Struthio camelus: one gene and its partner. The protein of the gene in region 1 purifies or fractionates together with the protein of each later gene. This does not show direct contact. Links are inferred from orthologs where the notes say so. Each region holds a gene or a part of one and is shown on either strand. Other genes may lie near its edges. The genes, in order: RPP30 and POP7.

What was found.
Region 2: the proteins of RPP30 (region 1) and POP7 purify together in Homo sapiens (co-immunoprecipitation; 4 studies listed by BioGRID and IntAct, counting the BioPlex papers as one, with this or other methods). This does not show direct contact. The link is inferred for Struthio camelus from reciprocal best matches to the Homo sapiens genes RPP30 and POP7.

What each region holds. Positions count from the first base shown.
Region 1 is NC_090948.1:20,234,844-20,244,070, forward strand, and holds the start of RPP30 (ribonuclease P protein subunit p30), read right to left. Parts: upstream 3,628-9,227; 5' UTR 3,483-3,627; coding exon 3,401-3,482; intron 1,772-3,400; coding exon 1,716-1,771; intron 1,415-1,715; coding exon 1,358-1,414; intron 656-1,357; coding exon 581-655; intron 93-580; coding exon 21-92; intron 1-20. UniProt on the Homo sapiens protein: Component of ribonuclease P, a ribonucleoprotein complex that generates mature tRNA molecules by cleaving their 5'-ends. Also a component of the MRP ribonuclease complex, which cleaves pre-rRNA sequences.
Region 2 is NW_027182637.1:11,977-19,093, forward strand, and holds POP7 (ribonuclease P protein subunit p20), read left to right. Parts: upstream 1-5,535; coding exon 5,536-5,955; downstream 5,956-7,117. UniProt on the Homo sapiens protein: Component of ribonuclease P, a ribonucleoprotein complex that generates mature tRNA molecules by cleaving their 5'-ends. Also a component of the MRP ribonuclease complex, which cleaves pre-rRNA sequences.

The DNA of each region.
Region 1 (9,227 bases):
ACAGAGATGATTGTACTTACATGGAACAGTTTCTCAGTCTTAGGAAATACTGCTATGATGTCATATAACCTTATATTTGTAGATGTTGATCTCTACAAAAGGAAGAAACAATTAGTACTTTGACTTCTGGCAGATGCCAAACATATGCACAATGATTACGACCAAAGTAACGAGAAGAAATATTACTTTTCCATTTTCTAGTACTAAAGCAAAGCCAATAATCATCCAATGAGTCTAACAATTTTACACGGTAGGTCTCTGATGTGAGCAGTTCTCTGAGGTCATTTTGAAGCTTGTCCCATCCACCTAGTTAAGCACTCCCACTTTTCGACTTAGTAATGTCAAAAATTGCAGGGCTTTCTCATGGCATTCTCATCAGGAATTTTAGATTCTTGCATTCTAGATTCAAGTCTGCATCTCTTCATGATCACATTACCTTCTAAAGATGCAGTCTGAGAAAATCAGTGATAAGTGTCCTATGAAATCCATGAACTTCTTCCCAAAGAAAGAATGAAACTTTGGAAGTTTTGCAGGGGAGAGGAAACAGAATTCAGAAAATTAATACACTGAATATACTTACCAAGAGATTACAATGGGAAGGATCAGAAACAACAAGTGTTAGCCGGTTTAAGACTTTAATTCGTTTAGATGTCCCCTACAAAGAAGAAATAATACAAAAGTCTTTAAGAGCTGCAAAGCAAAAATTTATGGTGAATTTCATCCTGTTTGCTTTACAGAGAAAATGGTGCCTTGCTCATATGCTTGCCTATACTAATTTTCTAGAAGTCTGTAGTTACATTTTATTTTTATTGTTTTACAGTGATCTGTTCAGTATCACATCCGCCCTTCAGAAAGAAGGACTTACAGCATTTCTTTGAGAAAGGGTGAACTGAAAGAAATACTTAAATAAATAGACAGAAAAAATGAGCACGTTTTGTTAATTCCACTATGCTTGCCCAGGCTGGCTACAAGTGTGAGCAAAAGTAACTCCTGAATTAACATGTCAGTGATTTGAAATATAGCCTTGGTTTATTATATTAAGATCTTGCTCCAACAAAACCAGGAAGCCATTTCCAGAACTCAAGACTCTTTTGTTTCAAGTGCTACACTATAATTATTCAACTACAAGAAGCTTAAATCCACATCAAACAACTTTTAAAATCATTTATAAAATTAAAAACTAGAGTGTCATCTAAAGCGAGTGCCTAATGCTTCTAATGTTGGGGGTTTTAACAATTAAGCAATGGAAAATTTTCTCTTTTTTGATTAACATGTAATACACAAAATTGCATACACTAACACACCAAGGTAAAAACATAAAACTTAGAATATGTAGGTGGAATGTAGATTGACATACTTGTACAACAGGCAAAGATGGAAACAACTCTGAAGGAGATACTGGCTTGACGATTTCCTTAAAAGGGAATCAAAGAAAGAAAATTATTCAAAATATAATGGATTGCATTTAGAATATAAACAAAGGTTGTTTTCATAGAAAAAAAACTATTTACCAAGGACAGTTTATGGACCATACTAAATATCAACCGCAATGCAGTAATACTGAATTATACAATTGGAGTTTTGTCACAAACGGAGGCATTTGTATATACGTCTAGACAAGCGTTCTAAAGAGAAAACTATTTGGGAACATGTAATAAGCCACGTAGTTTTACAAAATAAAACATACTAAGAACAAATACCCCAACAAAAGTTACCTGTTTCTTTTCTTTAAAATCGATGACATGATTAAGAGCAACTGTCGAATATCCCACTAGAAAAGGCAAACAGGTTGTAAGAATGTTTTGTCCAGTAAACTAATAGAAACAAATCCAAACAGAAGCCTGATAAGCTCAGCGCATAAATGTCTCAAAATTAATAATGATATGCATATTTTCCTTCCACATCACAATTCTCTAGCGATTAAGTCACAAAAAGAGCGTCTTAAAACACAAAATTCTGTTTGCCTTTTAACGCATCCCAGTCTTAATAACGTTTACTCAGTGGCAGAGCTTTTCAGACACAAGCGATTACTTGGGCAGGACCGTTCACATGGCCAGGGCGGAATTAGATACAGGAGACGCCAGCCCTGTGTGTCACTTAGACTTCAAGTAAACTGGCAAGTCTATGATGTCTTCAGGAGCGTAAGGCTAGGAATGGTTTAAGCCAATCTTCACTTCCCAATTCTGCGCATCCGCGAGGCTGCCTGAGCCTCAGGCTTACGCACCTAAGCAAGCTCGGGCAGCTTAAAAAGGAAAAAACGCATCTCTGACGTTTTTGTGAAGCTGCACCGTAAGAACGGCAACGGTGCCGCGCTAATCCCACGTGTGCACACTGCCAGATGTGAGCTTAGAGCTCTTCTAAGGGACAAGGCTGACTGAAGTTCGTTAATCTCCACTTACAGGCTGCTCGTTTCCCGCTAGGTGTCAACACAGACTTTTAAAGAACACGCTACGTCAAGCCAAAATAACTTCCCCCTGGATCAGGAGAGGCGCACAGACTGGAAAGACGTCACCATCTCGCCCACCTTCAGTAAGATTGCTGACACTGGCTCGAAGGCCACCCTTGTTAGCAAGTTAGGAAAATACGTTAGAGAGGAAACTGCTCTAACGTCAGCAAGAAAGTGCTCGAAAACTAAGAGCAAATATCAACAATTAGTCATCCAGTCAGGGTCTCCAAAGCTTTAGTCCTAGCGTCGTCCTATTAACTATTTTCTTTAAGGGACATGGTTAGTGACATTCAGGATACTTGCTAGAACTGCAGAAAACACAAAGCTGGGAGCGAGGCAATTCTCTTAGAAGGCAAGGTTTAAGCTCAAAACGGCGTGGACAAGCCAAAGAGAAGGCCTCACTCAACGGCGGGGAGGAGGAAGAGCCTACGCTGGCCAAAGACCAACCACCTGCCCCACGCTGGCTGGGGGCAACCGGACCCGCAGCAGCTCCGCGGAGCGAAGACTCAGAGTCGGGACAAGCCGGAGGCGGAAAACGAGCCCACGCGTTGGGGGGAAGACAAGCGTTACGCTGGGACAGGGACAGGGACAGACAGCTGGCAAGGCAGGAGGCAACCTGGGGAAGACCCCCAGCCTCGGCACTGCCCGCGTAGAGGGCCACAAGTCACGGGGGGCAGAGAGCAGCCGGGGGGGGGGGGAGACCCGACGAGCGCCACCTCTGCCCAAAGCCCGGCCCGCGCCGAGCCCAGCACCGCGGGCGCTTCCGCCGCCGTTCCCGCCCGCTCCCCTCCCTCCCCAACCCTCCAGCGGCCACCCGAGCCCGCTGCCGCCCCTCTCTCTCCCCGCGGGTCGCCCGGCGCAGGCACAGGCGCCGCCAGGGCCAGGGCCGCGGCCGAGCGCAGCCCCCCCCCCCCCGGCCGCCATCGCGCGGGGCCGCCCCGCTGCCGCACTCACAGCGCGCCGCGGCCTCCAGCAGGCTCTGCACGCACTTCTTGTCCGGCCCCTGCGGCACGTTCAGGTCCGCGAAGGCGGCCATGCCGCGCGCGGGGCGGGCTCCTCCTGCCGCCGCCACCCCCGCGGGCTCGGGGCAGCTGGGGCTTGTAGTCGGCCGGCGGCGCGCTGGGCGGCGCTGGGCGCAGAGCGGGGCGGACAGCCCCGCTGCACCCGCTAGGCGGAGCAGGAACCGCGCTCAACGGAAGTGCGACCGGGCGAGTCGAGCGAGGCCGCCGCTGGAGGCTGACTGCCAGGAAGTGTGCCCTTCTACTCCTTTAAAGGTCTTGGTTTTCCTATCTTAGCCAACAAAATGAGAAATAAACGCCAAAGCTGCCGTGTCAAGAGATGCTTCCCTAGACGGCAAAAGGCCTGAGGGATTATAAATCCATAAGTCGGATGCATGTTAGTTATGTGGCGCTATTGCAAAACCCACAAATCTCATTCTAAGGTTTATCAGCAGCATAGTTAAAGTACGGGTGGTAATTATCACTGCCTTTGTTCTTTTGGGTGCAGACAGCAAACTGGGTCTCTTTTCCAACTTTAAAGTAGTTTTCCAAGGCCTCCACCCGGGCTGGAGAAGCCTTTGCTTTCTTCAAGCTGGACTAAAGGTTGATGAGAGAAAGTCTGTGGGGTATCGAACTCCAAATTCTTAACTGGGGAAAGCTGCTGCTAACCAAAGGAAAAGCAGTGATGCTCCCAAATCCTCAGTCAGTCCCTGCTTACTGTAGCTTGGTGCAGTTTTCACCAGCTATGCTTTGAGACTCATAACTCATTTCTCCCCCAAAGATCCCACAATTTGCAATGGATAAGCAAGAAACAGTCGTGCCTGGCTGGCACGTTTCCGGCCTTGCAGTCTGATAAGTTACAAAGTCTAGTAACAGTGGTAAGAGAGAAATTACCAGCGGGCTGCCGTTAACTGCAGCAGGCACTCAGGGCAGCTCTGGGGTGGGAAACAGCTGCCTGCCACACCGCTGTGAAAGGAAGAAGAAAGCCCAGCTGATAGACAGCCTGTTCCTGCCACAGCTGTGGTTGCATAGGCAGCCAGTTCTTGACAACATTAGATACCAAGATATTTCAGTAAAGGAGCTCTGTTTTGGTCCATCTATGGCCGTGAGATGCTTGCCTATCAGATCAGCCAGTACTGTTTCTCTGCCAGTCATTTAAACAACTAGCAGAGCCTGAATGGTATTCTTGAGGCTTTTCTTTGATGTGTATAAACGTGGAAGAGCTCAAGATATTATTCCAGGTTTTCTTTAACTGAGTGCATGCATGATGGAGCTTCATTTATCTTAGTGAACAGAAGAAATCAATAAACATGTATCAATTATTTGGGAATAGACCTCCCAGAGTAGTGCTCAGAGACACAAAAAAGGACTAAGGAGCTTTTGTGGCTGGCACTATGTGAGTGAGACAAACCTTTTCTAGAGGCGCTTGTAATGGAGAACTCTGTTAATTTAAACAGCTCTTCACAAATCCGGCAGAACCCTATTTGTTGTAACGATTTAAAAATCTGAGTATGAAGCAACTTTCAGCACCAGGGTATCATGGATGATGTAAGCAGACCAGTGTGAAACCTTATTTTCTGCGTTACTGAGGTCTTACTACTTTTGTTTATCCCCAGTGATCTATTTAAAACATCTTTGTGGTCCTCACTGTTAAGTCATAAGCCTCCAACATGCTTCGATTTGTCTGTGTCCTGAAGCCCTTTTAGTGGAGCCCAATTTCCCTCATCGAGGTGTTCTCTCTCTCAGTATATTTGGATGCCAGGGGAGTCTTTCTGTGATTTTTGTGCAGACCAATAGGCTCTTGAATCCATCTGAGTACCCCTAACAATTCTTCTAATATGCTTTCAACCAAGGACCCTACACTGGCAACTATCAGATTATTTTGCTTTCCTTCTGCATTCAGCTCCTTTAGGGAACTAAGATACTATTGGGTACTATCTATCTCAGCAACTCAGTAACATGAATGTCGCCATCACTTTAATCATAATCTCAAATCGTTCCTTTGTAAAGGTGCATACTGAATTTTCAGAGATGGGAACTTTGCTTGAGTGATACAGAATTTTTAGCATAAATTTCACCCTGTTGGTTTGTTTTATTTTCAGATGACAGCTTGCTGCTGTCAGTATTTGCTGATCCCAAAAAGGGAAGGCATCATTGCACATTTATTTAAGTTGCACAGATGTATTTAATTTTGACAATGAAAAGAAACCCCAAAGATGTGAACGGTTACCTCTCTCTTTTACTGCTATAGAGTAGTGATGATTTATTTTCACAAAGATAAAAAAAGGCAGTAGAGAAAAATGCAGCTGTAACATCTTTGCTAGAAGTCGGACAAGAGTGTTATTTGCTAAACAGTACATGCTGGGAATAAAAATCAAGGTTTCAATAATATTTGTCCATAGAATTCTACCCAGACTGTGACAAAATACTCTAAACATCTTGGCAACATATTTCCCTGTGAGAAACATATACCTGTACTTTATTTTTTATCCCCAACATCAGGCCTTCACTTTATTGGTATCCAAAAAAGAAAATGAAAACAAAAGGAAAGAGGAAAAAACTTTTACGATAGACAAATGAAAATGACAATTTATGAAGACAGACTGGCTCAGACAAGTAAGGAGAAAAAAAGGAGATGGTAAAGAAAGGAAGAAGAACAAGAACTCATGTTTCATATTCATATGTGGTACCTTCTCGCCATGTACCCAAGATTGCAGCACCTTTAGGCCTTTATGTTAAAATGAGCAGAGCTGTTGTTTTCCAGACCTAGGTGTGTGGAGAAAAGGGCTACTGCCCAACAGTTTCTACCCTGGTGGTGAAGCTCCTGGTGCTGCACTTCTTGACCCATTTGAGTCCAAGTACTTGGAGGCAGCAAAGACCTGCTGTTTCAATAGCCCCTGGAAGTACCAAGTCCTCAGGAGAGGGGCCATTCACCAGGAATCAAGGATTTAGCAATTGTTCTTCCAACACAGATACTTTGATAGAATCATTTTGGCCTCACTAAATCGACGTGTGCTGGTGAAATTTTATTTCATTAGCTAGCTCTGACCTTACCTCTATCTAACCTTACCTCAGTAACATAGTAGCAAACAATTGGTACCATCACCCACTCTTACACGATACAACTAGAGTTTATATGAATCACAAATGCTAGAGAGATGTAACTATGTGATTACCACTATTTTTAGAAAACAATCAAACAAAAGAGTTCATTATTTTTAGAGGGGAAAATTCAAAGAAAAAGGTTCCCTCACCTTTTTTTTTTTAATTTGGAATATTTCTATATAACAAAAAGGAACATTAAAGATAAGATTTGCAAATAAAGCCCATAGGCAAATGTGAACAAACTTCTGTAACATCTTTGCTAGAAGTCGGACAAGAGTGTTATTTGCTAAACAGTACATACACAAACACAACAGTAGAAGTGATCTAACTTCACTAAGTGCACAACAAATGAGGGGCTAGGGTCTTAAGCACAGAGTCAGAGATGAACAGAAATAAGAAGAGGAGCCTTTATAGCCTTTCTACAAGTCTAAATTACTCAAAGGACAGTACGTTACTGAGCTCAGCCAGAAAATTATTGGCTGAAATTTACTGAAGTTTCGTGGTAGGTGAAAAGGTAATATCTTGTGAGGGCACAAATGTCAGCTTGTTATTTTTGACTCCCAGTCAGCCATTTGTTTAATTTCTGTATACTGTCTTGAACAGCATGTTCACATTTGTAGAAAGGGTCACTGAAGACAAAAGTAGGATGCACATTTGGAAGGATCAACTCCTAACGTAATACGTAATTAGTTTTAAATACATGGAATGGATGTAATCCCATGATATGATGATGTATGCTCTCTGCTTTCACAGATGCTGGGGGTATGAAAGACTGTGAATCCCCAAGGAAAGCACCTCACTAGATTCAGCTCAGCCCCGGGAAACTGGAATGTTATTCTAGGTGTGTCACAGTGAAAAGCTTTCAAGGAAGGATTTGTATAGAGGTATCAGCTGCTTCATCTCGCCACAGTGTCACAGATTTTCCCTCCAATCGTACAAACATCCCTTTGACTTAAATTGACTTGTCTCTAAGGAGATAAGATTTGAGAGTTAATACAAAGAGTGGTAACATATGACCTTTGAGAAGAAAAGAAAGCAGAAGATTAACTTTTAATGACTGTATGGGAATTTCAGGCACAGAACGAAAGATGAGGCTAAAATCTTCCTTTCAGGTTGAAATGGGTAAGAGTAATATGCAAATGATCCCGCATATAGTGTGCTGAGTACACTTACAGAGTCACGTTCTGGAAATACATTGAAAAGCTGTCAAGAAAAACGACTGATTTAATGAACTGTGTCAACACATTTACAGGAAGCACCAGATTATAATTTGCCTTGCCTTAGTCACATTTTAAGTAACTGAAAAATTGCTTTTACAGCAAGCATTAAACTGTACCATGTTATCAACTTTTAAGATACAAATCTATTTTGAACAAAATTTACCCAGTTCTCCTTAGCTGTACTTCAGACATTATTTAAAAAAGAATGTATTCACACAAGTAGGAGACAGTCTCCCTTCTGCGTGCTTTGCCTTAATGCTTTAACCTTTATTAAGGTTTAGCTTTATTTTGACCTGCCCTTTCTAATTTTAAAGACCTTTTTCTTCTTAATATTTGCTTAACTATGATGGAGGGCAAAGGAATCACCCTGGAAGGGCAAGCCACTTAAAGCTCAACGTTAATGAACACATTCTGAGCAATTAAACAGGGAAGTCTTTTGCTGCGAATGGACTTAGGCAACTAAGGTGAAAGCGTGACTGACTGGGAAAGCACATTCAACTTGATAATGGTTAAGGAGCTGCCCAACTAAGTCTCTCACTTCTCATGTGAAACTTACTTATTGTATTACTCAGATCAAGACTCAGATTGAGGTGTAAGGGGAAGCGAGCAATTGAACTCTCCCAAATCCTGCTCACCCTGCCTCCTGGAGCAGGTTGTGCCTGTGCTCAAATTGTGTAGGGGTAGCTGGCTCCTCTGATCTGATCCCAACCCCACAGTGTGCTGTGGACCAATGTGAAATCACATATGATGAAAACCCTGGTTTCAGGATTCAGGTGATGGTGACAGAATGGAAGATTTCATTAAAACAATAAATTCTGTGAGCCAACTATCGGAGCCTCATTTGCTGTGGATTTGTGTTGCACTAGTGCCTGGGAGAGTCAGCTGAGGTTTTTCCCAATGGCTGGGAAGGTCTTCCTTCAAAGCAGATATTATTATAACTGTATGATGTGAGCTCATACTGCAGCCTCTTTTACTGCTGGGCCACAGAAACAGTTCTTCCCTCTAGCTGGTGCTTGTTATAATGTTACCTTCAAGACCTACCCTCACTCAAGAGGTCACTGAAATTGGTCAACAGTTATTGATCCATCTGGAGTCAGTTCTCCTGCTCTCATTTCCTCCCTTTCTCTATCTCTGGCTTCTATCTCTTGTTGGAAATCTAAGGGGATGCTCAGGAGCAGGTGTGTCCTGTTTCTAAATATTATTGTCTAGCATGTTAAAAAAACAAGCGACTTAATCTTCCTTCGGTACCCCATCTGTGACCGACAATTCAGTTAGCTTTCACCTCGCTTGGAGGGAAGAATATGACTTAAAGAATGGAGAAAGCTGGAGTGTCCCAGTAATGGGCTAGTATCCAAGAGTTCAAGGAATCTCTGCAGAAAAAAACCAAAGCAATGGTTGCCTTTACTTTCTGAAAAGATTACACATGGAATAGTAAATCAGTTCAAAATGACTCAATAT
Region 2 (7,117 bases), on another chromosome or scaffold:
CAGGTCAGCCGGACCCCCCCAAACCGCCCCCAAACCGCCCCCGGGGTGACGGGACCCCCCCCAAACCGCCCCCAGGTCAGCCGGACCCCCCCAAACCGCCCCCAAACCGCCCCCTGGGGTGACGGGACCCCCCCCAAACTGCCCTCAAGGGTGACAGGACCCCCCCAAACCGCCCCCAAACCGCCCCCGGGGTGACGGGACCCCCCCAAACCGCCCCCAGGTCAGCCGGACCCCCCCAAACTGCCCCCAAACCGCCCCCGGGGTGACGGGACCCCCCCAAACCGCCCCCAGGTCAGCCGGACCCCCCCAAACTGCCCCCAAACCGCCCCCTGGGGTGACGGGACCCCCCCCAAACTGCCCTCAAGGGTGACAGGACCCCCCCAAACCGCCCGCTGGGGTGACGGGATCCCCCCCAAACCGCCCCCAGGGTGACAGGACCCCCCCAAACTGCCCCCTGGGGTGACGGGACCCCCCCAAACTGCCCTCAAGGGTGACAGGACCCCCCCAAACTGCGCCCTGGGGTGACAGGACCCCCCTAAATTGCCCTCAAGGGTGACGGGACCCCCCCAAACTGCCCCCTGCGGTGACGGGACCCCCCCAAACCACCCTCAGGGGTGACAGGACCCCCCGGCTGCCCCCTGGGGTGACGGGACCCCCCCCCGGAGGGTGACGGGACCCCCCCGCGGGCGCCCACCTTGCTGCCCTGGACGTAGAGCGCCAGCATCTCCTCGCGCCCGTAGCGGTGCTCGGCCCGCCGGGGGGGGGGCGCCGGGGAGGGCGGCGGCGAGGCCGGGCCCCCCCCCGCCAGCGCCCGCAGCCTGCCGCACCCCGTCACCGCCTGCCCCACGGCGGGACCCCCACGGCCGCACCCCCCCACGGCGGGACCCCCCCACGGCCGCACCTCCCCACGGCGGGACCCCCCCCACGGCCGCACCCCGTCACCGCCTGCCCCACGGCGGGACCCCCACGGCGGGACCCCCCACGGCCGCACCCCCCCACGGCGGGACCCCCCCCACGGCCGCACCCCGTCACCGCCTGCCCCACGGCGGGACCCCCACGGCGGGACCCCCCACGGCCGCACCCCCCCACGGCGGGACCCCCCCCACGGCCGCACCCCGTCACCGCCTGCCCCACGGCGGGACCCCCACGGCGGGACCCCCCCATGGCCGCACCTCCCCACGGCGGGACCCCCCACGGTGGGACCCCCCCCCATGGCCGCACCCCGTCACCGCCTGCCCCACGGCGGGACCCCCCCATGGCCGCACCCCCCCCACCCACAGCGGGACCCCCCCACGGCCGCACCCGCACCCCACGGCCGCACCCCCTCCACGGCGGGACCCCCGTCACCGCCTGCCCCACGGCGGCACCCGCGCCCCACGCAGCCCCGAGTGTCCCCCCGGCCCCACGGCTGCCCCAAGCGCCGCCTCCCTCCCGTCCCCGTCCCGTCCCGTCCCCGTCCCCGTCCCGTCCCCGTCCCCCTCCCGTCCCCCTCCCCACCCCGTCCCCCTCCCCTGTCCCCGTCCCCCTCCCCACCCCGTCCCCCTCCCCTGTCCCCGTCCCGCACTCACCACTCCGGCCCGAAGTTGAGCGTTTCGGCCGCCATCGCCGGGGTCTCGATCGGCTCCTGCACGGCCCTGGGGGGAGGCGAGGGGGTCGGCGGGAGCCCGGGACCCCCCCGACCACCCCCGGGACCCCCTGACCGCCCCCCAACTACCCTGAGCCCCCCCCGACTGCCCTGGGACCCCCCGACTGCCCTGCAACTACCCCTAGACCCCCCCAACTGCCCCTGGAACCCCCCAACTGCCCCCCAACTACTCCGCGACCCCCCCGAGTGCCCCCTGACTACGCCACGACCCCCTTGGGACCCCCAACTGCCCCGGGACCCCCAACCGGCCCCCCCAGGCTCACCCCGAGGCGGCTCCGGCCCGGCCGGGGGCACCGGGGCTCCGCGGGGGGCAGGGACCCGGCACCGGGCTCCGGCGGCACCTGCGGGAGGGACCCAGGCGTCCGGGGGGGCCCAGGCGTCCGGGACAGGGGACCCAGGCGTCCGGGGGGGCCCAGGCGTCCGGGACAGGGGACCCAGGCGTCCGGGGGGGGGACCCAGGCGTCCGGGGGGGCCCAGGCGTCCGGGACAGGGGACCCAGGCGTCCGGGGGGGCCGAGGCGTCCGGGGGGGGGACCCAGGCGTCCAGGCTTGCTCCAAGCCCCGCACTCCCACCTCCCCGTCCCGGACGCCTGGGTTCTCCGTGGGGGGGGGAGGGGGGTGTTGGGGGTCACGACCCAGGGGTCGCCATGGGGATGCGGGGGGGGGGGTTGACCCAGAGTCACCATGGCAACCGGGGGGGTCTCTCGAGCCGCCGTGGCGACAGGCCCAAGGGCAGCGGCGGGCTGGGGGGGCGCCTCCATGGCAACGGCTGCGGGGGGGTTCCAGAGTCTCCATGGAAACGGGGGGTCTAAGGTCATCATGGCGACAGGTGGGGGTGCTCTAGCGTCTCCATGGAGACCGTGGGGGGGTTCCAGAGTCACCACGGAGACGGACGAGGGGGCGGGGCGCCGAGGGGGTTCTAGAGCCTCCGCGGCCAGGGCCCAAAAAGGGGGCGGTTCTAGAGTCTCCATGGCAACAGGCGGCGTGAAGGGGGGCGGGGGGGGGTTCTAGAGTCACCATGGCAACGGGCCGGGCCGGGGGCTGTAGAGCCACCGTAACAACAGGCCTGGAGGGGGGCGGCACCGGGGTCTCCATGGCGACAGGCCGGGGGGGGGCTCTAAAGTCATCATAGCAACGGGCCTGGGCGGGGGGGGGCTCCCCATGGCAACGGGCCGGGTGGGGGGGTCTCCATAGCGACGGGGGGGCGGGGCCCCGAGGGGTCTCCGCGGCGACGGGGCCCGGGAGGGGGAGGGGGGAATCCGGGGTCTCCATGGCGACGGGGCCCGTCCCGTCCCGCCCCGCTCCCGCGCCCCCCGCCCCCCCCTTACCGGCGGCCGGGGTGGGCGGGGCCGGGGCGGCGGGGCGGGGCGGGGCCGGGCCGCGGGGGGCGGGGGGGCGGGGGGGGCTCCGGGTCTCGCGCCGCTGCCGCCGCCGCCGCCGCCGCCGCCTCGCCGCTTGTTTGTGTTTGTAACCAAGATGGCCGCCCCGCTCCGCGTCACGTGACGGGGGAGCGCGGGGGAGGAGGGGCGCGGCGTCACGTGACGCCGGAGCGCGGGGGAGGAGGGGGCGCGGCGCGGCGTCACGTGACGCCGGAGCGCGGAAGGCAGGAGGGCGCCCCGCCCCCCGCCGTGACGTCGCCGCCCCGCCCGCCTCCCGGCCCAGGCCCCGCCCTCCGACGGCGGCCGTGACGTCAGCGCGGGCGCGATGACGCCAGAGCGGTGCGGGGGGTGGGGGGGGGCGCAGCGGCGTCACCGGCGCGCGCGCGCGACCGGGGGGGGGGGGCCCTTCTCCGGCGTGACGTCACCGCCGGCGTCAGCGCGCAGCGCCGGGTCAGGGGTCAGCGGCGGGCTCCCAGGGACCCAGGCGTCCGGCGGGGGGCGGGGCCAGCGGCGGGGCCACGCCCCCGGAAGCGGAAGCGGCGGCGGCGGCGGGGACGCGCCGAGGTGCGGGGCGGGGGGGGCGGCTTGGGGGTCCCAAGGGCAGGTTGGGGGTTTTAAGGGCATCTTAGGGGTCTCTGGGGGCGGATTGCGGGTCTCGGGGGCAGGTTGGGGGTCTCGGGGGCGGCTTGGGGGTCCCTGGGGGCAGGTTGGGGGTCCCTGGGAGCGGCTTGGGGGTCCCTCAGGGCGGATTGGGGGTCCCAAGGGCAGGTTGGGGGTTTTAAGGGCATCTTAGGAGACTCGAGGGCAGGTTGGGGGTCTCAGGGGCGGATTGGGGGTCCCTGGGGCAGGTTGGGGGTCTCGGGGGCAGATGAGAGGTCTCTGGGGGTGGGTTGGGGGTCTCAGGAGCAGATGAGAGATCTCTGGGGGTGGGTTGGCGGTCCCTGGGGGCAGACTGGGGGTCCTGGGGGTGGATTGGGGGTCCCAGGGAGCAGACTGGGGGTCCTGGGGGTGGTTTGGGGGTCCCAGGGATCAGACTGGGGGTCCTGGGGCTGGTTTGGGGGTCCCAGGGAGCAGACTGGGGGTCCCGGGAGCAGACTGGGGGGCCCTCAGGGCAGACTGGGGGTCCTGGGGGTGGATTGGGGGTCCCAGGGAGCAGACTGGGGGTCCCAGGGAGCAGACTGGGGGTCCTTGGGGCAGAGTGGGGGTCCCTCAGGGCAGATTGGGGGTCCCAGGGCTCAGACTGGGGGTCCTGGGGGCAGAGTGGGGGTCCCTCAGGGCAGACTGGGGGTCCTGGGGGTGGATTGGGGGTCCCAGGGAGCAGACTGGGGGTCCTGGGGGCAGAGTGGGGGTCCCTCAGGGCAGACTGGGGGTCCCTGGGGCAGACTGGGGGTCCTGGGGGTGGTTTGGGGGTCCCAGGGAGCAGACTGGGGGTCCTGGGGGCAGACTGGGGTTCCTGGGGCAGATTGGGGGTCCCAGGGAGCAGACTGGGGGTCCCTGGGGCAGACTGGGGGTCCCTCAGGGCAGATTGGGGGCCCCAGGGAGCAGACTGGGGGTCCTGGGGGTGGTTTGGGGGTCCTGAGGCTGGTTTGGGGGTCCCAGGGAGCAGAATGGGGGTCCTGGGGGTGGACTGGGGGTCCCAGGGAGCAGACTGGGGGTCCTTGGGGCAGACTGGGGGTCCTGGGGGTGGTTTGGGGGTCCTAGGGAGCAGACTGGGGGTCCTGGGGGTGGTTTGGGGGTCCCAGGGATCAGACTGGGGGTCCTGGGGGCAGAGTGGGGATCCCTCAGGGCAGACTGGGGGTCCTGGGGGTGGTTTGGGGGTCCCAGGGAGCAGACTGGGGGTCCCTGGGGGCAGACTGGGGGTCCTGGGGGTGGTTTGGGGGTCCCAGGGAGCAGACTGGGGGTCCTGGGGGCAGACTGGGGGTCCTGGGGGTGATTTGGGGGTCCCAGGGAGCAGACTGGAGGTCCTGGGGGTGATTTGGGGGTCCTAGGGAGCAGACTGGGGGTCCTGGGGGCAGACTGGGGGTCCCTGGGGCAGATTGGGGGTCCCAGGGAGCAGACTGGGGGTCCTGGGGGTGGTTTGGGGGTCCCAGGGAGCAGACTGGGGGTCCTGAGGATGGATTGGGGGTCCCAGGGAGCAGACTGGGGGTCCTGGGGGCAGACTGGGGGTCCTGGGGGTGGTTTGGGGGTCCCAGGGAGCAGACTGGGGGTCCTGGGGGCAGACTGGGGGTCCTGGGGGTGATTTGGGGGTCCCAGGGAGCAGACTGGGGGTCCTGGGGGTGGTTTGGGGGTCCCAGGGAGCAGACTGGGGGTCCCAGGGAGCAGACTGGGGGACCTTGGGGCAGACTGGGGGTCCTGGGGGTGGTTTGGGGGTCCCGGGAGCAGACTGGGGGTCCCTGGGGCAGACTGGGGGTCCCAGGGAGCAGACTGGGGGTCCCGGGGCAGCTGCGCCCCCGCCGGGGGTCCGGCCGCCCCCTCACGCCCCATCTCCCCCCCCCCCCCCCGCAGCAGCAGGATGTCGGAGGCGCCGGCGGGAGCGTCGCAGCCGCAGCCGCAGCCGAGGGCCGCGCAGGCGCCGCGGCCTCGCCGGGGCCCGGCCCCCCGCCCCCCGCCGGCGCCGCCCGGGGCCCCCCCCGGCGCCGACGTCTTCGTCAACATGCGCACGGACTTCCGGGCCCAGCTGCGGCGCTGCCAGCGCCTGCTGGCGCCCGGCGCCCGCCCCGAGATCCGCCTGCACGGCCTGGGGCTGGCCGTCACCCGCGCCATCAACCTGGCGCTGCAGCTGCAGGCGGCGGCGCCCGGCGCCCTCCGCCTCCACGCCAGCACCTCCACCGTGGCCCTGCCCGGCCCCGGCCCCGGCCCCGGCGCCCTGGCCCGCGCCCGCCACAACTCCGCCATCCACATCCGCGTCTGCCGCCACGGCCCCCGCCCCTGAGCCCGCCCCGGCGCCTGCCGAGGCTCCGGCGCCTGCCGCCGGCACCGTCTGAGCTGCCGCCGGCACCGCGGGGACGGTCTGAGCTGCCGCCGGCACGTTGTGAGCTACTCCGGCACCGCCGGGACGTTGTGAGCTGCCGCCAGGACGTTGTGAGCTGCTCCGGCGCCGCCGGGACATTGTGAGCTGCCGCCGGCACGGTCTGGGCTGCTCCGGCACCACCGGGACGGTCCGAGCTGCCACCGGGACCGCCGGGACGTTGTGAGCTGCCACGGGGACAATCTGAGCTGCTCCGGCACCACCGGGACGGTCCGAGCTGCCACCAGGACCGCCGGGACGTTGTGAGCTGCCACGGGGACGTTGTGAGCTGCCACGGGGACATTGTGAGCTGCCACCGGCGTCGCCGGGACGTTGTGAGCTGCCACGGGGACAATCTGAGCTGCTCCGGCACCGCCGGGACGTTGTGAGCTGCTCCGGCACCACCGGGACATTGTGAGCTGCCGCCGGGACGTTGTGAGCTGCTCCGGCACCGCCGGGACGTTGTGAGCTGCCGCCGGGACGTTGTGAGCTGCCGCCGGGACGTGGTGAGCTGCTCCGGCGCCGCCGGGACGTTGTGAGCTGCTCCGGCACCGCCGGGACGTTGTGAGCTGCCGCCGGGACGTTGTGAGCTGCCGCCGGGACGTTGTGAGCTGCTCCGGCGCCGCCGGGACGTTGTGAGCTGCCGCCGGGACATTGTGAGCTGCCGCCGGGACAGTCTGAGTTGCTCCGGCACCGCCGGGACGTTGTGAGCTGCTGCCGGGACGTTGTGAGCTGCCGCCGGGACGTTGTGAGCTGCTCCGGCGCCGCCGGGACGTTGTGAGCTGCTCCGGCGCCGCCGGGACGTTGTGAGCTGCCGCCGGGACATTGTGAGCTGCCGCCGGGACAGTCTGAGTTGCTCCGGCACCGCCGGGACGTTGTGAGCTGCTGCCGGGACGTTGTGAGCTGCCGCCGGGACAGTCTGAGTTGCTCCGGCACCGCCGGGACGTTGTGAGCTGCCGCCGGGACGTTGTGAGCTGCCGCCGGGACGTTGTGAGCTGCTCCGGCGCCGCCGGGACGTTGTGAGCTGCCGCCGGGACGTTGTGAGCTGCCGCCGGGACAGTCTGAGTTGCTCCGGCACCGCCGGGAC